Lepisosteus oculatus: one gene and its partners. The protein of the gene in region 1 purifies or fractionates together with the protein of each later gene. This does not show direct contact. Links are inferred from orthologs where the notes say so. Each region holds a gene or a part of one and is shown in the gene's direction. Other genes may lie near its edges.

Region 1 (7,532 bases):
GCTAGATTATGGAAACAACCTGAAAGGGCAGATTAAAATTTCCATCTTGTACCTTAAATGGGCGGTAAATGGTCAGTGTTAATAGTATGCATATTCATAACATTATACACTCCCCAGTAGAGCACCTCGCAGTCTTAGTGAACCTTTTTCTCTCCATTTGCGACGAGTTTGTCCGTTTGTGTCTACGTGGGATTCGTGTAGCAGTCGAGGAGGAGAGAAAAATAACCTCAGCAAAGATGTTTCGTATGATCTGATAGCTAAATTTCCTCCAGTAAATTTGATTTCAGTTTCACTTTCTGACATTAAGAACATCAACAGATCGAAGATATTCGGAAAATCGGAGAACAGTGACTGTATTTGGCGTCAAGAAATAATCTACCTTCTAACCACGAGAGGGAGCGCTAGACCTTCCGACGGTTTCCGGCCGCGGACCGATCGAAAACAAAAAATATCCTGAATTTGGGTGCTGTGGTACAGTTACTGTACGTGAACGCCGCTAAATAATTAGGCTAGCCTTTTTAGTTTAGGGCTTTCTTTTAGAGGCCGCTTTGAAGTTCGTGACTGCAATGTGAATACATTAGCTTCTCTTCAACAGTAACTCAACAGAACATGTTGTTGGAATGGAGCGGAAGTTAAACTTGGTCCTTAGTTTTAATTCAGCAGACGATTTTCTTTAATCAGATAATAATTATTCATCTGTTTGTAAAACATGAAACTACCAATATATCTTAACTACTGTACGTTGTTGCAATTTGTTGTAGTTTTATTTGACCTCCTTAATTTTATTTCCTCTATGTGCTTGAAATCTGGCATTTTCCAATGGCAACTAGCTCATCCCATGTGAGGAATGTTTTTTTTTCCACAGCAATGGGATTCATTTAATTTTTTATTTTAACTTAATAGCAGAACGTCCTAAAGGTGGTTTATTATTAGCACATAACACCTACTGAATGCAATCAAGTACTGAAAAGGAAAAGACTTAAATCTACGTGTCCCTGGGGACCAATGGAGGCAGAGTTGTTCACTGCTGAACAGACTGAAATAGCCCTTATACAGTACTTCTGTAACATGAGAGTGTTGTTTTATAAGTTGACGGAGATTTAAGTGCAGCTGCAGAGAGAAAACATTCGATGTTGGTTCTGTGGGGAGGATGGGCAACGTCGGGCTGGTTGAAAATGAGGCAGAGCAAGCAGTCCGCTGCCCTGTTATCAGACAGAGGCCATATGTATTCAGAGCTCCAAAACCATCCAAACCTCATCGGGCATGGCGGTCTTCTTAACGGTACGGGGGCTGCATGGGTTGTGTTGATCACGTCGAGCGCAGGATGCTCCCAAGAGAAGGAGAAATCTCAAGAGAGGGGGAAAAACTACGGCTGGGACATGCAAAGTCAGCCTCCCTCAGGTCCTGGACACGCACTGATCTGGCTCATGCCAGGAAGGTCAGGCTGCTCTTCTCTCCCTGCTTCCCTGCTTCCCAGTGCTGTCCAATGTTCTGAAGCCGCCTGTCACATTGATTCAGTTCCCTTCTTGCACTGCGCACGAGGAGTGGTGAGGGGGGATTTTGCCAGTAAGTAAGCAATTGTCTTTTTTCCTGCTAGCTGCCGGAAACACGAGCTGGGGGGGGATTGTAAGGTTCTCAAAAGATTAACTGCCTTCCCTGCTGAGACTGCCTTTTTTTTTTTTTGCTCCTTTTCGTACGAGAGAAAATAAACATTGCGTGGCACTTCAGCTACAGCTGTTTTCAGGTTTCATTGCTGGCAGGGCCAGGGTCGTACACCTCTGTTATCGATCGCGTTTCTCTTCTCCCCCAAACGGTTAGTCACTTAGCAGCATTATGAATGGGACCGGATTTGTTTTTGCATTGATCTGCCAACCAATCCAACAGCCAATCAATCCAGAGAGACGTTGCCTGGAAATGGCAGGAATGATTAAGATCAGGTTAGGCATGCTGCTCTTTGTCAGATCGCGGAAAGGACTGGGAAAACCTTAAGAAAAATAAATGGCGACAAAAATTGCTGGCGTATTGCTGTTCTGGCCTATCTAGGGGTGTTTGTGATTGGATTGCTATAAATCCATCCAAGCCACTATCCTCTGTCCCTTATTGACTCCTGTGAGTCAGTGACATTTTAAAAATCCTGCATGGTAGGCGTTTCTGATCTAGAAAGCAAGGATTTTAAAGCCTGGAGGGGTCTGTGGAAGAAGAATCAGATTTGTATTCGAATTTTCAGATTCAAAGAGCTTTATTGGCATAACAGATTGATTACAATGTTAGGAAAGCAGCTATTATACCATCGTTTACAGTCATTGACAATACAAACATATCATTGCACATTTACTTACATCCCCTAAACATTATTGTGAGACTGGATCACCCTCTGCCCCTCCGGCTGGGGCAGGAGATCGCGAACTGGCCCGTTAGCTCTGTTGGATTTCCTGCCCTTTGCCCCCAGAAGATCGGAAGCTGATCGGATTCAGGCAGGTGTGGGAATTCTGGGATCATCGCATAATAGTGTGAGACAAGAAGAGCGCTTTTAAATGAGAGAATTGATCGGGGCCCCATATCAGTGTATTGATTATTTACTGGTGTTCAGGGGTGGGAGGGCTTGAATTTGACAGGCTGTTATTCGTGGACGCAGGGCTGTTATCTGTTCTGGCCAGTGTGCTTGCCGGAAAGGGAGGGCTGCCCCTTTACATCGATTGCATAGGGAAAGCTGTTATGTTGTGTGAAATTGTGCAATGTAAGCAGACAACAGCACTCTTTAGCACTTCCTCCTGGCTTTTTTATTCCGATCTGCAGTGACCTGGACCTAAGCCATGCTTCCACACATTACCTGATGGCCACTTCATCATGTAAGACATGGTCATGACAATGTAATGCTATAATGACAGGTAAGCCTGGTCAGATCAGATTCACAGTGTGAGGGCATGGGCATACACATTGCTACTTTTCATACTTTTGTAGGGGGGTCAAACATTTCCCTTTGTTTCTGGCAATTTGTGTGAATCGGAATGACCACAATCATTAAATGTTGCTCAAACATTTTAAAAGCAGAGAAACATTTATTCAGACCTGTGTACAAGGAAATTCTTTACCGATCACCAACGATGGGCTTATATTTTTCTTATTGTTTAAGTAAAGAGAAACTCCCATTTGTCCTTTGTTAGCTTTTAGTGAAAGCTTGGTCAGCAAAAAATATACATGTGGGTTGTGACTGTTAGTACAAGGAAGGATCTACAGTTAAAGTACCTGTGACTGAAGAGTGCCCAGTTTCTTTCAACAGGCTGTTAAAGTCCTTTAGAGGTAGCTCTGATTAGACACCTAGGGAGACGTTCTCCTGAGCTGTAATATCTGAATCCTCGTTCATTGAAAGTGTAGGTCTTTTCTGAGCACGCGCTGCATTGTTTCCAAGCATCTCTATGTGACAAAGGTCAGGCAAAGGTCACTTCCTCTTTCTATAGGCAAAGAAGGACCATGAGTTGTCATGGAAACTGTTCTAAGCCTGCCATTTGTACAAAAGTGTATTAGTCCTATTTATCTCCCACAGGCAGAAAGAAGCCAGAAAGAATCTGTATGTTATATTAAATTTAAAATATTTTAACCCTTTAAAAATATAAGTAAAACAAACAAATGTAGAAAGAATTTCAGTGGTAGCATAATGCACATTTTAGTATCAAACTTCAATCTAAGTTTTGTTAGTGGATTTAAATGCTTTTAACACATGACTTAAAAAAAAAACCTTCGACAATGTGAACGCTTGGTCCATTGACAAAATAATGCAGGTTAACAGATTGTCTCATCTGGTTCTGGATGTCTGTCGGAATTGTCTTTGTGACTTTGTGACAAGCAATAGCTTGATTGAATGCTTAATAAAGATGCCTAGACAGTATCCCTGTATGCAATGTACGCCAAAAAATATATAATTATATATATTATTATATATAATATAATTAAGCCTCTTCCATTTCTTTCCCCCCTCCAACTTGAAAAAAAAAAACTAATTTTCGGTCAGCGTCGGTGATTGAAAAGAAAGAACCTTTTTTGCAGGGCGAGGAAGCCCAGTGTTTTCCCTACAGTAATATATTTGAAACAGCGTAATATTCTTTAATAAGAAAAACAGATTTGGGCAGACGGCTACCATCGGGCATGTATCCCCCGCGACATCGCGGGCTCTTTGGTTCACGACCAGCAGCTGTGACACAGGTACAGCGGGGCTGACAGAAACGCCACTGCTAGCTCACCAGTGGTTTCGGATTTGCGGAAAGCTTACAACTTTCCTGGTGAAAATGTGACTCACGCCTGACTAACACAGCCCTGCGGGTTTCCCTAACAATCGTCTCCTTATGCCTCAACAGGTGAGTTGCAGCTCAGCCGACGACCGCAAGCCCTCTCCGAGGTGACGCATCGCCAGCATCTTAAATTTTCCTCCAAAGCAGATGCGGCTTAATTGTCCTTGATTGTCTGAGGGGCTGGCGGTTCTACCTTTGGCACAATGGGGGGTGAAGACGCCATCTGCAAACTCACACTTTGAGGTTTTACATTAATTAGTCATTAAAAGCGGAGGCGTACAGCGGCAGCACGGGGTTAACGAATATCTCGGTGTATTATTGTAACATCAAATTTAAATCTGCCTGTCGTCTAGCTCGCCTTCTGCAGGTATAAAAGACGGCAGCGAGAGACACGAGATCAAGAGAGGGAAGAAGACGGTTCTTCGGACTGGGGGGGAGCGACCGAATTACTTACTGGATTAGCTCTGTAATATTGGACAAGCAATTGCGTTTCCCTTTATATTGGTTTTACATATATTGAAAAACATTCTATTTTCTGTTTTCCCCGCAATGAAAACATCTGAAACTGTAGATTGCGTTTGTCACTGTGGAATAACCTGATCTTTGCGGTCCAGTCCCTTAAGAATCTTCATTTTGAGGCTCTGGTCTAGGTCTCCCGATATATTTTATCTTGCAGCTATGGGCCTGTGCTTTGGTGAGTACGTGCATCGCATATCTGTCTAATCAATCATCTATCTAGCTTAACTGGACTGCCAAGTTAGCTACAGGATGGATGCTAACTACGACAACAGAGAGTGGTTTTCTCATTACTCCTCTCGGCTAGCTGTCTAAAAGAAGCGCACAGGCACACAAAGGTGGATCGTTTAATCTATGTTGGCGTTTTTTTTTTTTGGTTACAGGTTCGCATTCTCGGGGTTTAATGACTCCTGCCCAGGTGTGGCGCTACTACACCGGCTCAGGTCAGTTTCTTAAAGCCGCGTTTCTTTTATCGTGCGAAACACGCACGCGATCAGCGAGGATCTCGAGCGGCGCGTCACCACGACAGCACGCTCGCGTGCGCTGGGAGTCAAAATGCCTTCGCGTGCCACGGCTAGGAGCACCAACATGCGGACGTGTGTTTCTAGGGATACGAGAATTATTCACATGCCCTCTCAACAGTCATGAAAAAAAAAACATCTTTCCCAACTTTGATCCACCTTGCATAGCATACTGTACTTAGGCAATTTAACTTTTTTTACACAAAACAGCCCTAAGTAAAATATTTATTCGATTGCGAAAACCAAAAGACCAAAAGCAATTCTGAGTGAAGAGTTAGACGTTTTGATCAGCTTTCGAAGTCATACAAATTAGGATGATTTGGCCTTCTGGGAACGAAAGCGTAATTTTAAGTGTTTCATTTAGAAAGCTTCCTATTAAAGTATTGTCTGCAAGGCTGAATCACGAAGAGGAGAACAATTGATAGCGCCGCTCGTTTTCCTTCGCGCAACAGATATGGATTATGGCACTCAAGAGAGTTTGAAGAAAAGTTAGAAATATGTGTAAATATCGAAAACGTAATTCCGTGCCGCTCAAATTGCTGGAGACGTATGTGTGATGATTCTGTTGGCTTGAGATGAGGCGGTTTAGGAAGACGAAATTTGCTCACAGGGCTGTCTGCTCTTCTACTTTCGCCTACTTAACATTGTACTTACAATGGCTATAGTAAATACGTACATTTTTTACAAAACGAAATGTGCTAAACTAATAATTTCCCAAGACACGACAGAATTAATTAGATTTTGCTTGATAGGCTATTTCTATATTTTTAGATTCGTTTTGTCTAACTTACGTTTTTGCACATATACATTAAATTTGAAATACCTAAAATGTATTCAAAATAGCTGACGTTTTACTAATATTTAACTCTTTAACGATTCGATTTTACAGCGCGTTTCGGTATAATTTTATTTATAAAATATAATACAAAGGATATTTTATATTTTCCATAGTATCGATCATTTTAAAGTAATGTAAAAAAAATCTTACTTTGGGGCTACGTGGTGATTGTCATTCGTTACTGATGTGTGTGTGAAGTGCCTGAATGCTCTTTTTCGGATGTTTGGATTTTTCAATAAATCAATGTATTGATTTCTTCACTGCACTGTTGTAAACATTTGACCATGAACATTTCTTCTGCTGTTTATCGTGCAATCATTATTTCGTATTTTTGATAGATTTGTCTGTAAACGACAACATCAAATAGTTTATTTCGTTTTGGACATAAAACTAGTTTGGATATTGATTTGTGTTTCCTTTTCCCCTTAATTACCATCTAGACCCGAATTAAAAAAGGATCGCATGTCAAAATCAATTGATACGAAGAAGAACATTTTGGCAAACAAATTATTATTCGTGCCAGGTTTTGATTTATTGGCGGCTCCTTCTGAAACCGCATATTTTACGTGGGGCTAAAAACAATGAATTCAATTTCTTGGGTTGTGATATATTAACTAACGCTTTTATTGTCCCTCATTTTCCAGTTTAAAGCAAAGTTGCATCCTATTTCATTTTTTGTCAACCACAAATATAATATTTTTCATACGATGCGGTAGTCCATTAATGACTTATCAGTTAACTTGTGGTTCTTTCATATCATTGGATATTCACTCAAAATGTTGTCAAATTTAAAAACGTGAGAACTGTGTCCCAATAGAAAAAGCAGTTTTGAGTGAAGAGTACCCCTTTTTGTAATGTAATGTTACGCCATTGACTGGTTTTAAAATGGCAGTGGTAACTGCTACAGCGTATATTGCTGCAGATTTGAGATATAGCTAGTTGCATGATAATTAAAGCCGATAATTAATTTAGAACATGTATGTTCTAAAGTAGCCGATGAAAAATAAACGTAACAACCACTGCAGCAGCCAGACGCGATGGAGGTAATCTTCCGTATTTAATATAATGGTGGAGCACACTGCGGTGGCTGTTTTGCAATAACCTGATGGTTACAGAAAATCAAAGGAAGGATATATTGATTTCCTAGTGGCAAGGCTTAATACTAATCCATAATACTTCAGTACATGGGGTACTTTTGTTTAAAATGTTAAGTTCGGAACGGTCCCCTTTTTTTTATTCAGATACATCAGATTTGGTCAAATAAAAACCACTATTAATCCGCTTTTTCCCGTGAAATCAGACGATTTTTTCCCACTATGTTCGATTCTCAAAGCTCCTATGTCATATCGGTAAAATATGTACATGAATATT
Region 2 (7,245 bases), on another chromosome or scaffold:
TTTCCATGTAGTCTGCTCTACAGAAAGCACTGGACTAACAAGAGAAGGATTGAGAAGCACAGCAGACACTCCAAGGTGTATTCTAGTGTGGAGGTGGGGGCTGTAAATCAAGGCTTTTGGGATTATTCAATTCAATTCAAATTATTTTTATATAGTGCCTTTCACAACAAGGTTGCCCCCAAGGTGCTTGACAAAGCAAGTGACCATACGTGTTGTGAATACAGAACAGAAAAGACCAGAAGACAATGGAGGAGAGGAACCAAAAACATCTTAGTAAGGAGAAAAAAACCCTCTAGGGGTCCAAGGTCAACTGGCTGCCCAACCTCTTTGGGCATGCTAACATTATACAATTTTAAAAAAAGGAAAAAATTGGAAAAAAAGGAAAAAATTACACAAAACAATGAAGGGTCTTCTTTCAAAGCACGCTCATACTGTTCAGTCATTTTCAAGGTATTCCATGCAGAAGGGCTGTGAAAACATTGACACAGTAATAAAACTAAACTCCTGTCGTGATATTCACTAAAAGTGTCATTTTGCATGTAATTACCGTTCAACCCCTGATCACCTACTCAAAAACACAACCACATCCGGAGTACCAGAAGCATTCTTAACAGTTACATGAAGGTTGTCTAGTTATACGCTGTTTCTAGTTTGTAAAAATCAGAAAAGTCCCTTACTTTCATTTTCGTTACCTCCCTAGAGTACGGCCTGTGTTCTGTGGCTCTGAGCGACAAGCTGTACCTGGTTGGTGGACAGACCACCATCACCGACTGCTATGACCCGGAAAAGGACCAATGGAGGCAGATGTCTGCGATGAAGGAGAGAAGAATGGAGTGTGGGGCTGTCGTCATGCACGGCTGTATTTACGTCACAGGAGGATACTCCTACTCCAAAGGAACTTACCTTCAGAGCATAGAGAAGTACGACCCCGAGCAGGACAAGTGGGAAATAGCTGGCAGCCTCCCCAGTGCTATGCGATCGCATGGCTGTGTCTGTGTTTACAGTGTGTAGATCTGCCTTCATTGCATCTGGACTGCAGTGGCTCGTCCATTTGAGAAAGGGCAAAGGTGAAGTACCAGCTGTCACGCCCTCTGCAGCCAGAGGGCGCTCCTTCTCTGGCCTGTCTCTTGTTTCCGGTGCTTTGCTGTCCTTCCGGTGTTTCTCGCTCTCTGGGGCTATATATTTCTGGGTCTTTCATTTTACTTTGCTCAGCACTGAGGTTCAGATGCCCTGAAACCCGCTTAGCACCAGGTCACTCCTGTCCTTGGCCTGAGGGCATAGGTTTCTATATGGCAATTCCTGAACAGCTGAGCCAGGGCTAACCCCCGTCTCGGTACAGTTTGTCCTTTCCAACATACATGACACCAGCAGCATCCATCACTCCATGCGCTGATGTACGATATCTGAGGCAGCACATGCGTTTGTGAGTCAGCAGGAGAAATCTGAAAAGCTATTCTCTCTAAGGAGTGCCCAGCCTTTTGTAAGATAGAACAGCAGCCCTTCGATTTAAAAAGCAGACAATCAATATGATGGATTTTGTTGTTTTTTTTAGCGAAGCAAAAAAGGTGTACCCTTGAGCAGTGATCTGATCCACTTCAGGTTTCACAGACTGCTGTGCGTATTGTACTGTACAGAGATGTCTGCAAGTGGCAAAACATGACATGGATCAAAGTGCTACACACTAGGAGTCAGAATTTTTAAATGTTTCCAAGGAAGTTATTTTAGGAAATAAGATTTTAAGAGCTCAAAAAGGAAAATTACATTAGGGATGAAAAATGTATGCAAATGTTTCCTCAGATTGCCTAAAAGAAATAAGACAAGTAAGAGGTCTTAAAAAATGTGCAGCATAGCCAACACAAGACATTTTAATGAAAAAAAGGTCATGTTTATTATGCTAATGTGGTGGGTTAAAAGAGCTTTTTTCCTAACAGAGACCATAATATTTCTCATTTAAAATTTTACATTAGACTATTTTATGATGCAATAAAGTATTATAGGGTTATAACAATGAGTATTTCCAATAGAATGATACTGTTTAAAATGAACAGATCATAAGATACAGTAGATAAGAACATAATAATGGTTACAAATGAGAAGAGGCCAGTCAAGCTCGTTTAGTTGCTGTTAGGTCTGAGGATCTTATATAGCTATTAAAAACACCTATCACTGACACCAGAGAGAGTTTAGGAATCTATATTTACCCTATGAACACCTGAAAAGTATAGTTAGTGCAATCCTTAGTGTATATAGTATACTGTATATACAGATGAGATAAATGTGTTGATCAGACGTCTGAGTATTATTTTACTGTAACTGGTGTTCAAGGACATTTGGGCTAATATTATGAAGTACCTTTATCCATTGCTCTGGAAATACAGAATTACGTTCTGTTATTTATGAACTCTTTGGATCACAGTAACTGCCATTTTATGTTCTCTGAAGAAAAATGTTTCACTTCCCCTTCTGTATCGTGAACAGAATTATTACCTTTTGGTTCATTTTGGCTTGAGTTCACCTTTGCCTCTAGGTATTAAAAAAAAGGCTCATTATTGACAGCAGAAAGAGCTCAGCAATCTGTGAATAGCACGTGGACATAATACCTAGAAAAAGCACAAAAGCAAGTAAAAGCCTAGAGGAATTTTTCTAATGTATGAGTCTAGTTTTTTAGACATATAACCAGCTGCAGTATTCCAATGATCTAGTACAGCAAACGTTTTTTAAACTTTGATTAAATTGTTGCTACAGTGTTTTGTACTACTGTATATATCTTTGATTTTAGAAAAAGGAATTATAGAAAATAAAGGATTCTTATTTCAACACCGTTGAATTTCCTCAAAGGATAATTTTTTGGGGAAATCTGTTCATTTTGTTTACTAATGTATTTGCATTATTTATGAAGAATATGATGTTTTAAAAGCATTGTGTGTATTGGTGAATGTTTTTTTAGTTCTTTTAAATAAATTATGTTTTGTTTCAGACACGATTTTTCAAGAAGCACAAAAATATGGTAGAGCAAGAGTATTAGAAGGTCAGGAAAACCGCACTGCATACAACCCATTCTGTGTCTTGTCTACACGTCCATAACCACTTTGACTAATGTTTGGGTACGTTTTAGAGCAGTTTGCAAGAACGCTTGATTTGCACATGAAATGTTTATGTTTTGTTATTACCTTTTAGAGATACGTTTACCATTTTGATATTTACTTTGTCATTTTTTTTTTACTAAACCGAATTTGTTGGAATTTTTTTTTTGCGGTGAATGATTTCATTTCAGCTAACATACAACACTGCCACCTTCTAGCCTCCTCCCAGCAACTAAGCAAGACCGAGACTGGATGTTGGAATTCATTGGAGAAATGCGGCCCCCACCTATATATAAAGCTCTTTGGTATCTTTTCAGATAGAAATCATTATGTAAATGCAAGCAACTTCTATTGAACACCGAAAATGTGTACTGTAAATTCCTCAGCAGAAATCTACTGAATTGTCTATGTGTTTGAATGCTTTTGTAATATTTGTTTTTTGGTATTTTGAAATTCATGAATTTTGGTTAACACACAGCATTTTGTAATAAGGAATAAACTGTTATTATTAACAATTACTAGCCATGTTATCATTTACGTGGCTGTGTATAAACTGTGATTATATCGTTTACAGTCTGCTGTTAACAGACAATCCATTTAACCACATTCCAGATTTATCATAATATTATTATTCCTGAAAACAGCAAGCACGGGCTATAGCGATTTCACGATCTGTTCTAATATATTTTTACAAAGCTTTACACGTTCTGTGTAATAGAGAATGGTTTGTTCGGATAGGTCAATCGTCTTCGTAGGACCAAAAACACCACCCTTTTCGGTTGCTGCACACGCGATCTAACAGAAGCAATTTCGACGTTCGTAGGACGTGAGAGCGTTTGGGCCATCCCACGCCCCGTAGAAGCGCAGTGGTTTCTGGGATAAGAGTGCGTGCTATAAGAGCTTATTACAAGAGCAGGTAGCTACGGGCCGTCGGTTATTTGGGGGAAAGAGGGATAAGGTTAGTTTTGTGGCTTATTTTTTCCTTCATGTACATGTTGGTTTGTGTTCTTCAGAACTATGAATGCTTCTGTGTTGCGGGGTGCAGCGTGTTCTTTTCTAATCGAACTTCCCACGTAAAGTTCGTATGAGGCTTCTGAGAAAATACCGGTACGAAACTGCTTTAAATGTCATTTTGTCCATCTCGGAATACTTATGGATTGGACGCGTTAAGTCCAAGTACGGCACAAACCTAAACGGTAAATTTTAAATTTGCATGAAGTCGCTTAATTTTGGTTGGGTGGTGAAACATGCTGGTTTCAATGCAGATTTTTTTTGTGACGAAACAAAAAAACGTGGAGACCTCATGTTCCGGCAGGGGGAGATGGGCGGTGTGGAAGCCTCGATTTTCTGTTAACTGCTTTCTCAACTCTCTGAAGAACGCTTTTGGATGTATTAAATCGGGTCGTTAGGCTGAAATGGAGGAAATGTATCGCCACTTTGCTTTGCAATTGTGTTGAATAAAGTTTTAACATAGCCCAGAATTGTTTTATCAATTTTTAAAAGGAAAATTGCTCTTGGATTGTTTCGCGTGTTTACGATTTGTGATGTAATTATATGTACAATACTACATTTAGAGAATGCTCGCTTCATGAATTCAGTGAGACCCTCCATTATGCTACGGGATATTTTTGTCTGGAGTAGATTCCTGTAGCCTCAAGAAAATCTGCATCTTTCCATTTCTGACCGCTTTATCACATACAGTACAAGGGAGCCGGAGCCGGCGAGAAACGGGCGCAAGACTGCGTTCGCCCAGGGCAAACATCTGAAATTACCAGTTAGGTGAAAAATGCATGCATGCATCAGGGTGTTAATGTTTTAAGAAATTGTGCCTTTCAGATTAAACATGGCAGATACCAACCAAGAAATGACGACCCTTGAGAAGAGAGTTGCCGAACAGATTGAGGTAAATTTAAGGATTTCTTTTAATGATCTTTTAGGAGAGTTGCAACAATATATTGCCCCTCAATGTAATGTTAATCACAATGATACTGTGCAGCTTTACCAAAGGAGTGGGATTTCTTTGCCTTAACAGTACTATTTCGGTGACCATAATCTTCCAAGAGACAAGTTCCTCAAAGAGCAGATACAGCTAGATGATGGATGGGTGCCGCTTGAAACCATGATCAAATTTAACAGGTATGTAGTGTTTGACAGCAGTGCTAACACGCAAACCCAGTTCTATCTGGTGCTTGTCTTTGTAAAATGTACTACAGTGTACGTGCTGCTTTTAAAAAAAAAAAAAGTCGGTCTATTCAGGGGCAGTATCTGTTTATGTTGCTGTAAACGCACTGATATGCTTTATTAACCCACTACACCACAAGATGCAGTCTAGTGTTAGTATTGGACCTGATATTTACTTGCTTGAGTATAAGGCAGCGTCAATTGCGCCACCTGCTGGCAGAAAAACTAAAAACGGCGATTATTGAAACCGACCGTCATTATTTTGAAGTCTATTAAATGGAGTATACATAGAATATTTAATACTACTCAAGTGGCCACGTATATTTGACAGTATTGTACCTGGTTAATAAAATAAATAATTGTTATGGGTGTTAAAGTCATGTGCATGAAATCGAAGTAAACAATTATAAATGGTTATTGACCCATATGAGGGCTGATCTGGGTTCTATAGCAATGTGTTTAACCTTATATATTCTTAAATGGAATCCCTTTAGGGGTTACGTTTAAGAGCAAGAAGGAGTTGCTGTGACTCATGGGGATGTATTAATATTTGCTATATAACCCTGTTCTACTGGCTGAGTATATAGCATTGCTGGTTCTTTTTAGGGTGAAACAACTGTCTATTTGAACTAAAATAGGTGAAGTAGAATTAGGTCTTTAGTGTTGCTACTGCAGCAGCTAATGTTTATATATTTCATAATTCAAAGTGAATTTTACTTGCTCTTAAACATCACAACGTTGAAAGGTGTTCCTTAAATATTCTGATATTGTCTGTCTGGAATGAATCCTGATTGGATTGTTTCTTGCTGTAGGCTGAGCCGTTTAACCAAAGACTTCAATGTGATTACTGATTCACTGAGAAAATCCAAAACTGGGCTTATAGAAATCAGTGAAGATAAGTCAAAGATAAGAAGATCCCCAGATAAGCCTCTGCCCGAAGCTAACGACGAGTACAAAGATGCAGTTAAACACAGATCAGTCTACATTGTAAGTAAGGCCTTCATTGGATTCTTATACTTCAAGTAGAATTTCTTTTATCATTTGCACTGACTTTATTTCCTTCTTTTTCCCCAGAAAGGTTTTCCCACAGACTCAAGTCTTGATGATGTGAAGGAATGGCTAGAAGGCAAAGGAAATATTGAAAATATTCAAATGAGGAAGAATGCACAAAAGCAGTTCAAGGTTGGATATCTGACTTTTTAAAAATTATTTCATATTCTATGTCTTTCTTGTCTTTAACCTTTTTTCTTTGTGCCTTTTTATAGGGATCAGTATTCATCGTTTTTGACACGGATGAATCTGCTAAGAAGTTTGTTGAGATGCCAGATTTGAAATACAAAGACAATGAAATGATTGTGCTTTTAAAGTAGGTATATTTTGCTGATCTGTGGTGAAATTGTATTAATTAGTGCATTTTAAGTGCACAATTGTCCATTTTCATAGTTTTTACATACATATATGGGCTCTGAGTACAGCAACATCTTTTCTAGCATGCAGTTTTGGCTTGGTATATTCGTGTTAATCATTCTCTTTATTTCCTCCAACCTTTCAAAGATCTGCTGGCTGACTTAATTGGTAACTTAAATTGTGTGTGTGCCCTGCATGTCCGTCTAGAATGTGTTCTTGAGTAAAGTTATTTTTGTAGCTTTCTGACCATGCATGTCAGTAGGGCGAAAGGGCTTCCTTCTCTGTAACCTAGCTAATTTGATTCATGGTGGCTTAATAACATCCTTAGATTAGCTATTTATTGAAAGATCTGGTGGATCTTTTCAGCAGTAGTTTGAGGGTGGAAGTTTACCATCTCAACAAGTATGTCAAGAACAGCTGAAATGTTAAACAATAGTACTTTCTAAGAACATATTTATTTTAGGGAGGATTACTTTACAAAGAAAAATGAAGAAAGAAAGCAGCTGAGAGCTGAAGCCAAGGCAAAAGCAAAACAGTAAGTAGGCTTGCCTTTTATTTTTTACATCTTGGAAGT
Region 3 (7,643 bases), on another chromosome or scaffold:
ATATTCTCGAGATCACACTCTACTGGCCTCTGTTTCCTTCTAAAAATGAAATTGCAACATCCTGGCTTCTGGAGAAAGAAGGATGACCAAGAGTGACTTGCTCCAGTACAATTGAAGTGATTTTGGCATATTGTCTCAGCAAAACTCGGTGAAATGGCACTTTCAAGTCTGTGAAGAATCAAGGAATCTTGTGTTTTTCTGTATATACAGTATTACATTTTAATCATCTGAAATGCAATCTCAGTTGCTTTTAAGAGCTATTGGAATAACTCGTTTAAAGGTTGTATTCTGTCTCTTATTTCTTATCAACTGTGTTAAAGCTCAAATTTTAAAATAAAAAGCCACATTAAACATTTACGAATTTTCCACTTTTTAAAAAAAACTTTTCTCTCTTTTACGTTGAAATGGTATATATCAGACAGTTTTAATGGGGAAAATTAACTTGCATGATTAAACTGAATTTAAAATTGATAACTGTTGATATTAAAGTCCAGAGAATAGAACCTTATTAAAGCCTTTTCTTATATTTAATTTTTCATCCAAGTGTCTTTCACCATGCTTTTTTAGTTGCATCTTCTAAGATGACCTTTTACAAATATAACTATATACAGTAGCACATAGCATTCTGTGCAACAAAATTCTCAAAGCCATTCTAAATGAGAGGGTATAACACATTGAGATACAGTACCACTGGCCTTTAAAATTATTCTGTAAAGTAATTGTTTGTTTCATATCCAGCCAGTGTAAACGGTCTATTCCAATTCTTTTTATAGTTCAATAGCAAGAAGTATTGTTAGTAAAATTGCTAATTTTGTTTTATATGCCTGGACTTGGGAAGCTATTGAGTAGAGTAAATTCTGATAACCACATCTTTCATTAAACAAAATAGTGTTTTACGTATAAAAACCTCTAGCTGATTAGCAGTACCATACATTCAGTTGCCAGTCTGAAGTGTGAGAAATGGGGAACATTATTAACCATAAATTTAAGAGGCTATTTGAATCCAGTGATCACTAGGTCAAAAAAGAATAATATTAGTATTTCATTGTTTCTGAATTCTTAATAAGAAATATTGATTTAGAAAATCCCTGTATCAGTGGATACCTTGTCTTGATGTTTATTTAAAATGATGTTTTCTCATCAGTGCTTTTATAACAATAATGATGACTAGATAGGGCTCTCCTGTTTTTTTAGTTGGTCTTCTAGGACTTTATAGAGTCTAGTATGTTTCAAAAATTGAAAAGTTAAGTCACAAAGCTATTGCAATGGCAAGGCCTTTACAACTGATTTTAAAAAGGCCACTGAACATGACAGCTGTTTCTTATGTGGTCTTTGTTATTTGATTTTGGTTTCATATGTATATGTATATAAAATGCTTTCAATGTGCATGTTTATAATAAGATAAAATGGTGACAATACTAATACACAACGATATACCAAGATTAGAAGATTACGTCTGGTTGTTGGAATTGCCACTTTTATCTTCTCTTCTTTGCATTTTATTTATGATGGAATACAACATCTTTTCATACAGTAAGTCTCCAAATTAAGCCCAAATTGAAAAAAAAGTTACTTTTAAGTACCCTTTCCAAGTGATCTTGTCGTGGACTGGGATCAGTTTATTGCTGAAGCAATAGTAAAAATAGGCCCCTCACTTCAAAGTGTATATGGAATAAGTGGGTACTGCTGTACCATATTAGATATAATTTACCTGAATATACAGTACTATATTATTTATTTTATGTTAAACTTTTTGCCTTAAAATCTGAACCACACTGGCTTAATACACCAGAGCCTATCATGGTTCCTTTGGTGTTAAGCAGACATTATGCCACTCTCCCCTCAGGACAGGACTCTGGTTCATCACTGGGGTTACCACCCAATAACTGATGGTCCCCGATGGACTGCAGCAAGTGGGGTAAAGTCTGCAGAAGGGAATTGCACCCACAACCCAAAGTGAGTCCAGAGACTTACCCACTACGCTAAAACTCCCCCAAACAGCACATGAACATAGAAAATGTGGACAGCTTTTCTTGTACCGAACTATATCTATATAACTGGGGCTATTCAGATATAGCCAAAGGGAGTTAACCCTAAGGGCAAAATATAGCGTAGACAACAAAAGGCAGCTGGTAAAACCAGAGAAAACTCTTATGAATGAGACCCTGCATACTCTAGACACGAGATCAAATACTTTGGCTGGATGCATAAGTCCTGATCACTCTATATTGTATATTGTAATTATATTAAACTTTACATTGATTGCCCTAGAGTTTTGTTAATCTGGTCTAAATCCTGCTTGTTGGTGGGCAGAACTAAACAGCCTTGGAGTGGCCGTGGGCTGCTACCTCTTTCAGTACTAAGTGTGAAGTGAGTGGCCCAACTCCTGAGGTCACTGGAGGCTAAATTGCCAAGTATATAGCAAAAGTTTGCACCTTTTCACTGTGTGTTAACTACCAAAATGCATGACACATGAAGACAAAAAAAAAAGATATGAAGAATCATCAAAAATCCCTACAATTTTGATAGTAGAATATAATTATTTTTAACACCTTTCTTCCAAATAATTATTTGGTAATAAACCTACTCAATTTGGAATTGGCAATTGTGTGTTTTCATGTCTCGGCTCACAGGTGCATATCTTGTACCAACACATAGTGACAACAAGGAAGTGCAGACAGATGTGTCTGGCCTCCCCACCTTTGAGTCATTGATCTGTTAATACATCTCAGGTCACGCAGCTCGCCACAGGAGGCACTTCTCCAATTGAAGGAGAGGCAGTTCCTTTGCCAGTCCTGGTGCAGGCTTGCAGTAATTGCTGTTTTGTTGGGATCTAAAAGCGCCCTTGCTAACTAATGCCAACCCTACCCTGTGCTGTGCTTAGTCAATTATGTGTCAACCACTTGAGAAATCCCATCACAGTCACAGTGACCTAACCCGGGCTTGGAACACACAGTGCCAGTGCCAGTCCTCAAGCAAGCATCTTCACATATTGAGCAACTCTGGAGCCCACATATAATTATTGCTTAATACATGTTATAGTGTTGTTCTTCTTAATACTGGAAACAAAGAATGAAGCCCTGGCGAAGAAACCAGCCACTTAACCTAGCCCAAGCTAATAATAACTGGCAGAAATCAGCTTCATTATTCTGAAGATAGAACTTGTTTTGTGTTTGCGTTGTAAAAAGGGCACCCTGACACCATCTGTTATGCAACATCTTCCCTTAAATACAATAGAAATAGAAAGTTGCGCAATTAAAAGAAAATGCATTAATTCAATAGTACATTTTAAGATGTGATTTTGAGAGACGGTGCGAGAGGTGGTTTTCTTTTTGGGACATAAAATAAATTTTTAGGTCTGGCTCTAGCCAGAGGAAAGTGCTCTTGTCATTACTGCCAGTAACCCCATCAATAGAGCTCTTTGAAAGGCTACATCCCTGTGCGTACTTTTTGTAGGGAATCATGTTTTTTTAAGGCTTATTACGTACCTCTATTCAATCACCCCTTTTGCCAATAGATTCTTTATTTTCTTTCTAATTCATATTCTGCCTATATCCCAAGGGGACACTATCAGCCTTTGTCTAAACACCCCGAGTCCTAGTCTTACTACTACTTTCATCACAATTTATTGCAAAAACCTAAAAGCAAATTAAGAAACTAAGATGTTGGTAATACATTTGGTTGAAGGGTTGGGAAATACATTTTTTAACAGTGAAAAGATATTAATACAACAGCATGGCTGCTTCATCACAATAGGCTCTACAAGGAGTCTGTTTATGATACAATCATGGGATTAGTGAAAAACCTGATGTACTGAATCTAATTTCTAATTACAAACAATAATCCAGATATTATTCATGAATCCTCCCTTTCATGTATAATTTCATTTCATGGAGTCAAACTAAATTTAGGAGATGGAAAAATCCTGTTTAGAAAGGGTCCTCTCAATATGGAGCTCCTGTTTAAACATGACAGAAAACGAATGTCAATAACTTTAGATTAATAAAAAGAATGTCAATAACTTTAGATTAATAAATAAAATGATACATCACATCACTTTCAAAAGCCACTTATCTAATTCAGGGACATGATGAATTAAAGCCAATCCCAGGAAGCATTGGGCGAAATGTGGGATGCACCCTGGATACCAGTCCATCACAGGTTTCACACAGACACCAAAAACGCACATTGTCATACCAGGGTCTATTTGCAGAAGCCAATGAATTTACCATTATGTCTTTGGACTGTGGGGCAAAAGCAGAGCACCTACAGGAAACCCATACAAATACTGCGGAACATGCAGAGTCCTTGCAAGCAGCAAACCAAAAATTGATCCCAGGATCTCAGCATCGCAATGCAGCAATATTAACCATTGTTCTAATTTACAACAATAATAATATAAATAACTCAAGTCGATACGATTAATATGTCCTTACACTAGAACTAATCCATCCTTAAAGTAACCTTCACACTAGCTCGCACTAGACAGAGGAGCTGAACTAATAACTCCCATATTTGTTTAGGCAATAGAAATGACATCATGTAGGACAGACTCTCGCGGTGTTTCACGGGTCTAAGACTCGGGAAAGGACATGCGCAGTGAACACCACACGTGTTCCTTTCCACATTGAGAGAGTGAAGATGGCGGACGTAGAGGGTAGGCATGGAAAATAATTTTGGGTTTTTCTTTATTTTTATATGCAATTCGAGGGGAAATAGTAGTAGTCAATTGTACTGAGATACATAGGACAAAGTAATTCAAGCTCTTTGAGACCGATTTAAGACTGGATCTTTTGTAGAGAAAATAAATCTCACCTCGTGTGTGCTGCATGGGGCAAGTGTGCAACTAGACGATAAATGATCAACTTGCCTGTATTTTTACATCTTAAGTTTGATCAATCCGGCTCTTACAACGTGTATATCACTATTTAAGGCGTCTTAATTTTAATAATTGCGATCTTGAATCTTAATATGTAGGGTACAAACGCATTAAATGCTGTGTTTTTGAATATAAACTTTACAGTAGGAAGAGATACATGAATTTCACTGTTGCAGAGGATGTACCTAGCTTTTTTGCATTCGATATTTTTTTATAATCCACAATGTAGTCACTTTCATCGATGAAGTAGCAAGCTTTTGTAATTTTGTAATTTTGTTTTTGAAGTTAAAAGCGAAAGTTAACATTTGCTTTAAGATTGCTGAATGCTGCACGATATTACTAAAAACGATTATTCTATACGTTTTAATTCAGTGAGTCAATTGTGCTTATGGTATTTTTTTTATCCATTTAAAAATTAATGCCTTGCACACCGCCAAATGTGGTCTTTTTCTAGTCACCACGTGTTTTCAGAGTCTGCCACGTGGTTGTATTGAACAGTTTTCCCTAAACCAATGCAGCCCGCATGTCTATTATTAATCAAATAAAGATACATTATGTGCGAATTATGATCATGAATGCTCTGAAGAGTTGCTAAATTAGAATATTTTAGGGACTTGACTTTTCCTAATTGTCATTGATGATGGAAACATGATGATTTTCTTATTCCAAGAATTTATTTTGTTTAATAATTATATGTAGAAAGCCTGTTGTTTTTTTCCAGAAGAGTTTACAGATGTAAGAGTTATTATAGGAAAGTAACCTTAATTCATATGATTATTCATATCAAGAGACGTGATGTGCTAATGTTACAGCAACAGTCCATGATTATTTACTGAGAATGATTAATTTCCACGGTTTGAACTCTTGGGTTTCTTCTTTTCTCTTTTCTCAGTTTCCTCAGCTAAGAAGCACAAGAAGAAGAAGGAGAAAAAAGTTGCCGATGATGAAGTTGGGGTAGGTTCCATGTAACATGGCTTTTTTGGAATGTTAGCAACTTTTTTGGGTGCAGTAAACTTTGAAGTTTTTATAATTGCTTACATTGTAATTTAAAATTTTCATAACATCAAATGGATTTTCCCCCCCGCTTTAGGAACTTCAAGAGATGGGTGATTTCCTCATCAAACCGGAGTCCAAAATTCCAACACTTGATACCTCTCAGTGGCCTTTATTGTTGAAGGTAACTAGATAATTATTATACGTTCCTGTCATCCTTCTAGGAAGCTCCCATGTATAGTGTTGTATGTGAGATGATGAACTTGTTTATCCATTCTCTGAGCACTGCTGGCCTCTGTCTCTGCAACACTCTCGGCCTGTTCTAGGCCTAAGTGTCTCGGCTCCCAGACTCGGCTTGGCCATTCCAGTGTTCTGCTGGGGGCGGAGCAGGAGTCTGGAGAGCTGGAGCAAGAGGCAGAACCAGCCTCTGCAGAGACGAGTAAACAGTCTGATCGCACAAGTTCGATGGGGAGGGGTTAAGTAGCCTGTTGCACAAAGAACATCCAATGATCAGTACTTGCCTCACATGACAATATAGCTCACTTTGTTGGGATATGCACAATGTAAGACATCTGCTTCTCAATCCAAAAAGTAACAGATTTATACAGAATTATTTCCCTTATCACTGTACCTGAATGAAGGTGCAGATCACAGTTCTACAAATACACAGTGTTGTATATGCGGTGCTGGAGGGTTCCAGTAAGGCAGCACAGCACATTAATGTAAATACCATTTCACCTGGCCTTGTGCCTTTTTGCTCATTAAAGATTTTTTTCAGGAAGTGTACAGTAAGCAATATATAAAAACCTTGACTTTCTCCTCTCTTCCATTCCATTAAGTATTAAATGAAGAATTGGGTGACACTTTGAAAAGTAACACTTTATGGATGGATGGTGTAGGTGTGACAAAGGTGGTATGCTAAATACATTTGTGTAAAATCTCCTTTTTCATTTGTTTTTTTTGTAGAACTTTGATAAGCTGAACATAAGGACAGCACATTATACACCTCTCCCAAGTGGCTCAAATCCCTTGAAGAGAAATATTCAGGATTATGTCAGGTACAATTTTTTTTTTGCTGTATCTTTAGGGATCTTGGTTTTCTAATTGAAACTAATGCTGGCAAAGTCTTAACTTGAAAAATGCACTTAAACTCTTCGTCCTGTGTGAAATGTGAAACAGGTTGTCTGTTTAACATTGAAAGATTTATTAATCTGTTTTAGGTATTTTAGTGCTTACAGCAGGAAGATATTACCTTACACCAGACAAATTTACATTGTTAGAATTTTCTACTTTAAGAGTTGTCTAAGATCTGAGAGAATGCTTTAATTTCATAGATTGATGACATCCAAGAAGCCAAATGATGTTTTTATGTAGATTGCATTAGCACTCTGTGCAAAGATGACTGTCTATCTATCACCCATGACTGATGGCTTCAGGGAGAAATGTTAAGGCAACCATTACAACTCCTTTAGTAGGCCTTGTGTTATGCATTTGTTTTTTCTGAGTTAATACTGAGTGATCTCCTATTCTTAGAAGTTATACTGAAATATTTTAAAATCTGTAGGACCGGTTTTATTAACTTGGATAAACCCGCCAACCCATCCTCTCACGAAGTGGTGGCGTGGATCCGTCGGATTCTTCGTGTGGAGAAAACAGGCCACAGTGGCACTCTGGACCCTAAAGTCACAGGCTGTCTCATAGTGTGTGTAGACAGAGCCACGCGTCTGGTGAAGTCCCAGCAGAGCGCTGGTGAGTGGGTATTTCTTGTCTT
Region 4 (6,962 bases), on another chromosome or scaffold:
TTTTTTAATGCTCTGATTTTTTTTTAATGTTGCCCTGATGGAGTTTTAATGACATCAACTGAGGCCTAGGTGATATTTTAGAAACTGTAAATGTAATTTATGAACGTAATTATTTTTAAATTCTATGTGTCCTGTACAGAATGTATATAAACTTCATTAAATTCTCATTTACCTTCGAAGGGAGTGTACTTGTAAACAATTATTATATTATGTGAAAAATCATCGAGTATTTTTTAAAACCTACATTGTTACAGTATATAGTGAAAACATTTAAAAACACAATTGCATATATTACTTTGTATATAACACTGTATTTATTTCTGTGCCAGCTACATTGCAGTGGAGCAGCTCTTGAGCTCTGATAAACAGGAGTTCTTTGATGGACGTGACATAGTTTCAAAGCCTTTCTCCAAACAGTCGGCAGCCTCAATTCACTTGAAGTGTGAATGTGGAGTTTCTGTGAAGAGATTTCAGAGGGCTCTGTTTTATTTACTTCATGTTGTGAAGAGGCATCAAAAGTATCATGCAGACATAAAATATGAAGTGTCCCACATTCCAGAACTACACATCTTAAATATTTTGCATGTAGCTGATGTTGAAGAGGGAACTGGATTGTGTTGGAATGACTTCTTCATCTCGTGCAGAATGCCCTTTGTTAAAAGCCGCTTAACATTGATTTGTGTAAATTCACTGCAAAACATTAAGGACACTTTGTATGTTAAACTTTGCTGCCATTCCACGCTCTGGGCTGTCCACGTATTGTAAAGTGTGTTTGAGTTGCCAATTGTAAACCTTTTTTGTAGAATTTGAGGCACAGCTGTGGTTGTAGGATGTTTTACTGAAGCATCAACGGACTGTGTCCACTGCACAGTGTAGTATGAAACTACCAAATGTACAATAAAAGGGTTTTACTGTAACTTTTGTGTGTCAAAGCTGTGTGTGGGTATTGCTTCTTACCTTAAGCTTGTTTAATTTTCTTTAGAGGGTGGTATTTAAGTAATGTAGTAGAAAATTGTTGTCCTTTGTTAAACAACATCCTATGATTATATACAGTATTGTAGTACAGGGGTGGACAACTGGTTCGAGAGGGTTGCGGTACTGTTCGAATAACAGGTCTTTCACACTTGGAAGCTCGGTAATCCCTAACAATCAACTGATTTAACTTCCATTGGTACAATATGAGGAAGGCACTCATCCCTGGGACCACAGGGCCCAAGTAGCACAGGTTCTCTGGATGGAATCCAGAGATCCAGAAATGATCTCAGGACCCAGGCGCTGTGAGGCCGCAGTGCTCCAGCATGCCACCTGGAGCTCCCCTGTGACTGGCATTGTTCACTGGTCAGGCACATCTCTTCCCACAGGGTCCCTCAGTACTGTACATCCAGGAGCTGTCACCCACTGTGTCCCCTAGGTGCTGCTCCAGCTGCTCATTGCATCGGGGTAAGGCAGAGAATTACTAAACCAATGGAGCTACAGGGTGCGAGTCTCAAGAAACCTGAACTGAAATTTAGACAGGAGGTTTTAACCTCTACCATATGATATATAGAAATGCTCAGCTTTAGACCTCTATTAGGACCCTGTTCTGGGAACTCTCACACCTGATGGTTCTAGTTTCCACCAAGCTCTTTGCTTCATTGAACTAATGAGTTGGTTAATAAGCACTTTTCTCAATACTTTTTTATGCTCAAGCTGCAGATCTTAAGATAAAGTATATCCAAAACACAGGAGGTTAAAAAGCAATGCCCAGCTGTTTTAGGATAGAGTTCAAGTGAATCCTACTCCCAGCTTGACTGGTTCCTCTGAGTTTTTGGTTCCTCTCCTCCGTTGTCTTCTGGTCTTTTCTGTTCTGTATTGACTACACGTACGGTCACTTGCATTGTAAAGCGCCTTGGGGCAAACTTTTTGTGAAAGGCGCTATAGAAAAATAAATTGAATTGAATATTAACGTTTCTACATTTCAAAACACGTTTTTCCATTAGTAGGAAACATTTAACTGTTCAGTTTTTGAAGATGGGTCTTTATCTTAGGCCAGAAGAGGGCACTCTAACTGTTTCTACCATGTCCGGCATAACTATGGATATAAACAGACATTGACTGTCCGATCACTTCAACAGGTAACCAAATAACTGTGCTCTTAGACCAACATATCTCTTCCATTATTTCAACATCGTGATACACTAACTGCCACAAAGCATTGTTAGGTGAGGAAAGGTAATGAGCACAGGATATTAACAGTAGTACATGTATGACGAGAGGCTATAGGTTATCCGTAATGTCTACAACTAAATGGCATTTCACAGGAATGACGAAGTCATGCATATTCCAGTATTCCAGGCATATCGGTCATGTTATGAGAAATACGATTAGCCTCCAACATTGGAAAATAGCATTATGATATACTAGAAAACAGATGTGATTTATTTTTTGCCAGCAGCCATATCATGCTGTAACACACAATGTATATCCACTGAAGCTCAGCAGGTGTGAGCCTGGTCAGTACCTGGATAGGAGACCTCCTGGGAAAAACTATGGTTGTGGCTGAAATTGGTGTGAGTGGGACAAGTTGGGGGCGCTCATCCTGTGGTCTGTATGGGTCTGATGCCCCAGTATAGTCACAGGGACACTATATATCCAAGGGCGTTTCTCGAATAGAGTAGGGGTGTTACCTCGGCGTCCTGGCCAAATTCCCCCCCGGACTTTACCAATCACGGCCTGCTAATAATCCCTGTCTCTGAACTGGCTTCATCACTCTGTTCTCCTCCCCACTGAGAGCTGGTGTGCAGGGAGTGTACTGGCGCACTGTGGCTGCCGTCACATCATCCAGGTGGGGCTGCACACTGGTGGTGGTGGAGGGGATCTCCATTACCTGTAAAGCGCTTTGAGTGGAGTGTCCAGAAAAGCACTATATAACTCTTAGGAACTATGATGACATCTATGGGAAGTGTAGTCAGTCTCATTATCACCATCATCGTCATTATTATTATTATTATTATTATGATCTCAAAATCATTTGATAAAATCGCCTTTTCTGTTCATTTTACATAGCCTGTATAAACCGTCACTACAGGTCGTTTCAGGAAGGAAAATTCAGAAAATTGCAAAAAATCCTGTTTCAGTACCCTGTGCGTAAACTGTCGTACAGTATTATCACTTGGAATACTTATTTAGCTTTTTTGAATGTTTAGCGCTAACGAAAAATAGTTAATCCTCCCCGAAAGTCTGCTTTATATCTTTTATTTCACAAATATCCCTATCGCGTATCCAAAAAAAAATAATTCTGAGAAGGATGCAACCTAATGGATATTTACTCTAGATATCAGGATGAGCCCTTATTGTTCCCCTCGACACTTGAACAGTTCTGTGCTATAAAGGAAAACAAGTTTCAGTGGGCCAGTAAGTAGCAGTTCCTTCGGCCGCACTATTTTCAGGAGTAGGATTGTCAATCCCAGTGTCCTGGATAAATTCTAGTTCATATATTGAATTTATTTGCTCTGTAGTGGGACTCTCCCCTGCGTAAAACACTCTGGGATACTATGGAAAGAATGATTAAACACTATATAGTTGTAAGAAATTAATATTTCTTTTGAAAAAACTCGAATCTCTCTTATAGCCTATTTTTTTTTTCAGTGTATGCATAGTTGGTATCTGTTGCATTTGTCACGTGTAATCCTGTTTTGTACATTTCACCGAAACCCCGTCAACTTGGATTGCATGAATTTGATTAATATGTCTTGGCAAGTGTTCATCCGAAGGTCTATTTTCGATTACTTTCGTCTGATGGAAAGTACCAAGTGAAGAAAACATTCTTTTTCGAATATTTATATTATTTTATTTTGAGACGCCACAAAAATGTCCTATTTGAGTGTCTTGCTTTATTGTTATGGCAACATTTAAGATGAAGGCATAATGGCTCATTTAAAACGCCTATGGGGACACCGCAGCTACACGAATGAGATGGTCTTTTCCGTAATGGCGCTGGTAGCGTGTTCCAAGCTGGGGTGCAAGCGTGGTTTATACGCGTTTTAGAGTAAACGAAATTAATTAGGAAGGTGTCTGTTGTCATTTCAGATTAAGTTACCTGCGAGTCAGAAGATACATCCACTTCTACCGTAGTTGCATCTCTCTGGAATAATTACAGAACTTCAGCAAAGGCATGGTATGAATCTTTACCAATTACGCTTTTAACATTTGTTTTCAGTTTCTCTGCTTGTGTTGTGTTCGTTGTGTTGAATTTATCTTAACTGGGTTTAATGACCTTTGCTGCCCAAGACATTCCACTTTGGGTTAAACATTCAAATAAAATAAAACAGATAATTCTGAATTTCATTATGTGAGGTATGAAATCCATTTCTAATGTGTTTTAATAAACTGGGGACGTCGTACGTATTTATTTTGAAAGCCTCACAAGAAGAAGAAGCCTTTCATTGAGAAGAAGAAAGCAGTGACCTTTCACCTGGTGCACAGGAGCCAGCGAGACCCCCTTGCCGCGGATGAGAAGGCACCCCAACATGTGCTGTTACCTGCCTGCAAGGTGAGCCTGTCACTCGTCTTCTGCATTTCCTGCTTTGTTCCATTTCATTTATACGCCATCAAAAAGAACTGCCAAGGAGGAGTTAAAAGTTAATGTACTAAATTATTTATTGATTGATTGATTGATAGATACGTTATTGATCCCGTGAGGGAAATTGCAGAAATTCCTAATGCAAGAAATTGTATGGGGCTAATAAAGTGATGTTATGTTTTTTTTTAATGTACTAAATGCATTAACAGAACGCTTATCAAAACTTTACCAGAGGTAAAGACAGCTCTACTGTCTCACATATCTTCAGCCCTACTGTGTGTAATAACAACAGCCAGTTTTGCACAACTTCAGTCCTTAAAAGAGGGAGAACAGGCTTCACCAAGTCACTGCTTTGAGCTCCCTGTGTTCTCGCATTTAACCGAACTTAAGTAGCAAAGAAACTGTAGCAAACAAAAAGATCTGCAAACGACAATAGCAACTGTGCCACAACTTTCTCGTTTTTGAACAAATTATTGCTTGCATTTTAGCTAATGCTGTGTTTTTGTATTCGAGAGATCAGTGTGTAAAAGGAGGTGATTCACGGAAGATCTTTTCTTTTTCCAGGCAGATGCAGAGAAAAGGAAGGAGGAGCAGAGGGAGTATGGGGTGTTTTTTGATGACGATTATGACTACCTGCAGCACCTCAAAGAGCCCTCCGCCTCCACAGAGCTGGTCTCCTCCAGCAGACCGCACACAGACGGGCGGCTGCTCGTCACTGAAGGCGGCCCCGTGCAAGAGGAGGTCGAAACCATCCCTGTAAGGCCCTGTAACACACTGCTACAGACCAGCTATCTAATCAGTGCTGATGCTGCAGTGAAAGCATTCGTTTAGTCTTTTTATTTTTTTAGGTGTCATATGTTTTTCTAGTAAGAAAAACTATCAAGGTAAACGTCCAAAAGTGCTTCCTGCAATAATATAATTTTTCTATCAATCAAAAGTACAATGAGCCACCTGGTCTCAGAAGAGTATATGAGGAACCCGTAGCTACAGCCAGGGCTCAAGGATGGCACACGTATTTCACACCTGAAAGGAGAAATCTTCCCTTTTATAACCTTCAAACTCCTGGGTGTCTTTTCGCAGGCCGTTTCCATCAACCTGCCTTCCTCTGTGTTTGCCTCGGAGTTCGAGGAGGAGGTGGGACTGCTCAATAAAGCGGCACCAGTTACAGGTACGGCGCTGTGGCGAGGGAGCTGTGAGCGATGGGAGTGCAGTTAGAGCTGGTTTTTCACGGTGTGACCTGACACTGGCGGAAGGAAGGATACGGGGCGTGGAAATGATCCATAAACGGATCGAGTATGGCAGGAGCCAGTACTAGCTTGCTGGGAAAAAAGGGAGCACTTTTAGTTCTGACGTAGGAACCTTTGGAAATCATTAAATATCCAGCTACAGATGGAACTAAATTAACTGGAGATTAACTAGTTAGAAGATCGGTATTACAGCAATCATAAATCGGATAAATCCACTCAATACCACTCAATGCTCCCTGCGGTATAGCTGTAGAGGGCTGTAGTGGCTTCTCTAGAAGATGTCTTTCTGTATAGACTTCATCGCCTCCACCCCTGGTGCAGTGCAGACTAGTGTGTCGTAGTGGCGTCTGCACGGCATTCACCCTGTGCTTCTGTCTCCAAGGCCCTCGGCTGGACATGGATCCTGACATCGTGGCGGCTCTTGACGAGGACTTCAACTTTGACGATCCGGATAACATCCTGGAGGACGACTTTGTCCTGAAGGCGAACCAGCCTGGGGGGGACGCCGACTTGGGGTATGTCTGTTGCTCACTTATCGCTCTCTGTGTCGACCTACAAACCGCGGAGCTTGATCCCACCCTCCTCTGTATATCTTCCCTGTCTGCCCGTGTCAGCGTGGAGGAACGTAAGAGCACTAGAAGGGCCCTTCCTTTGCTAGTAGCTTTTTGACTCAACGATCGATCTCATCCAGCCATTTCTTGGAAGAAGCCATGGCATTGGTTTCAACACTGCTGAAAAGTTTGTTTCCAAAAACTGCCTCCTGTTCTCAGTTTCGAAGGCACTTATCAGTAGTTTCCATGCTTCTCTGTTATCTGGTTCTCTGTTGGTTCTGAATAAGTTAAGGGATCCCAGCCTTTTCCAGCAAGTGACTGGCAGTAATGGGGTCCCTGTCAGGAGCAGCGCAGTTCTAGGTGTTGATGGTGGTTTTGCGCCCCTCAGCCCCATGCAGTGCCCCATGGGAATGGAGCTGATGTCCCACATTGGGTCCTGACCTGTGCAGGCTGCCGTCTTTCAAAAGTCACGCTTTTCAAGACTGAGACAGAAGCTGCGTCTTTCGTTCGGAACTCTGCTACAGGACGGAAAGCCTGACGGAACTGCAGGGCGATACAGGACATCCAAACACAGTTGCTGCGACCCATGCTCGAACCCATGAT

What was found.
Region 2: the proteins of protein lin-28 homolog A (region 1) and ssb purify together in Homo sapiens (affinity purification with mass spectrometry; 3 studies listed by BioGRID and IntAct, with this or other methods). This does not show direct contact. The link is inferred for Lepisosteus oculatus from reciprocal best matches to the Homo sapiens genes LIN28A and SSB.
Region 3: the proteins of protein lin-28 homolog A (region 1) and dkc1 purify together in Homo sapiens (affinity purification with mass spectrometry; 3 studies listed by BioGRID and IntAct, with this or other methods). This does not show direct contact. The link is inferred for Lepisosteus oculatus from reciprocal best matches to the Homo sapiens genes LIN28A and DKC1.
Region 4: the proteins of protein lin-28 homolog A (region 1) and ltv1 purify together in Homo sapiens (affinity purification with mass spectrometry; 3 studies listed by BioGRID and IntAct, with this or other methods). This does not show direct contact. The link is inferred for Lepisosteus oculatus from reciprocal best matches to the Homo sapiens genes LIN28A and LTV1.

The regions. Positions count from the first base shown.
Region 1 is NC_090706.1:5,681,440-5,688,971, forward strand, and holds the start of protein lin-28 homolog A, read left to right. Parts: upstream 1-4,478; 5' UTR 4,479-4,964; coding exon 4,965-4,980; intron 4,981-5,185; coding exon 5,186-5,245; intron 5,246-7,532. UniProt on the Homo sapiens protein: RNA-binding protein that inhibits processing of pre-let-7 miRNAs and regulates translation of mRNAs that control developmental timing, pluripotency and metabolism.
Region 2 is NC_090707.1:15,906,105-15,913,349, forward strand, and holds the start of ssb (lupus La protein), read left to right. Parts: upstream 1-4,107; 5' UTR 4,108-4,167; coding exon 4,168-4,190; intron 4,191-4,919; coding exon 4,920-4,986; intron 4,987-5,115; coding exon 5,116-5,219; intron 5,220-6,076; coding exon 6,077-6,251; intron 6,252-6,338; coding exon 6,339-6,446; intron 6,447-6,529; coding exon 6,530-6,630; intron 6,631-7,134; coding exon 7,135-7,206; intron 7,207-7,245. Other genes in the region: klhl23 (kelch-like protein 23), read left to right, coding at 701-1,011. UniProt on the Homo sapiens protein: Binds to the 3' poly(U) terminus of nascent RNA polymerase III transcripts, protecting them from exonuclease digestion and facilitating their folding and maturation.
Region 3 is NC_090703.1:36,226,829-36,234,471, reverse strand, and holds the start of dkc1 (H/ACA ribonucleoprotein complex subunit DKC1), read left to right. Parts: upstream 1-4,606; 5' UTR 4,607-4,641; coding exon 4,642-4,657; intron 4,658-5,771; coding exon 5,772-5,833; intron 5,834-5,969; coding exon 5,970-6,056; intron 6,057-6,121; exon of another isoform or gene 6,122-6,328; intron 6,329-6,838; coding exon 6,839-6,930; intron 6,931-7,224; exon of another isoform or gene 7,225-7,304; intron 7,305-7,436; coding exon 7,437-7,621; intron 7,622-7,643.
Region 4 is NC_090712.1:1,926,566-1,933,527, reverse strand, and holds the start of ltv1 (protein LTV1 homolog), read left to right. Parts: upstream 1-3,880; 5' UTR 3,881-4,153; coding exon 4,154-4,156; intron 4,157-4,399; coding exon 4,400-4,531; intron 4,532-5,125; coding exon 5,126-5,317; intron 5,318-5,641; coding exon 5,642-5,729; intron 5,730-6,190; coding exon 6,191-6,323; intron 6,324-6,962. UniProt on the Homo sapiens protein: Essential for ribosome biogenesis.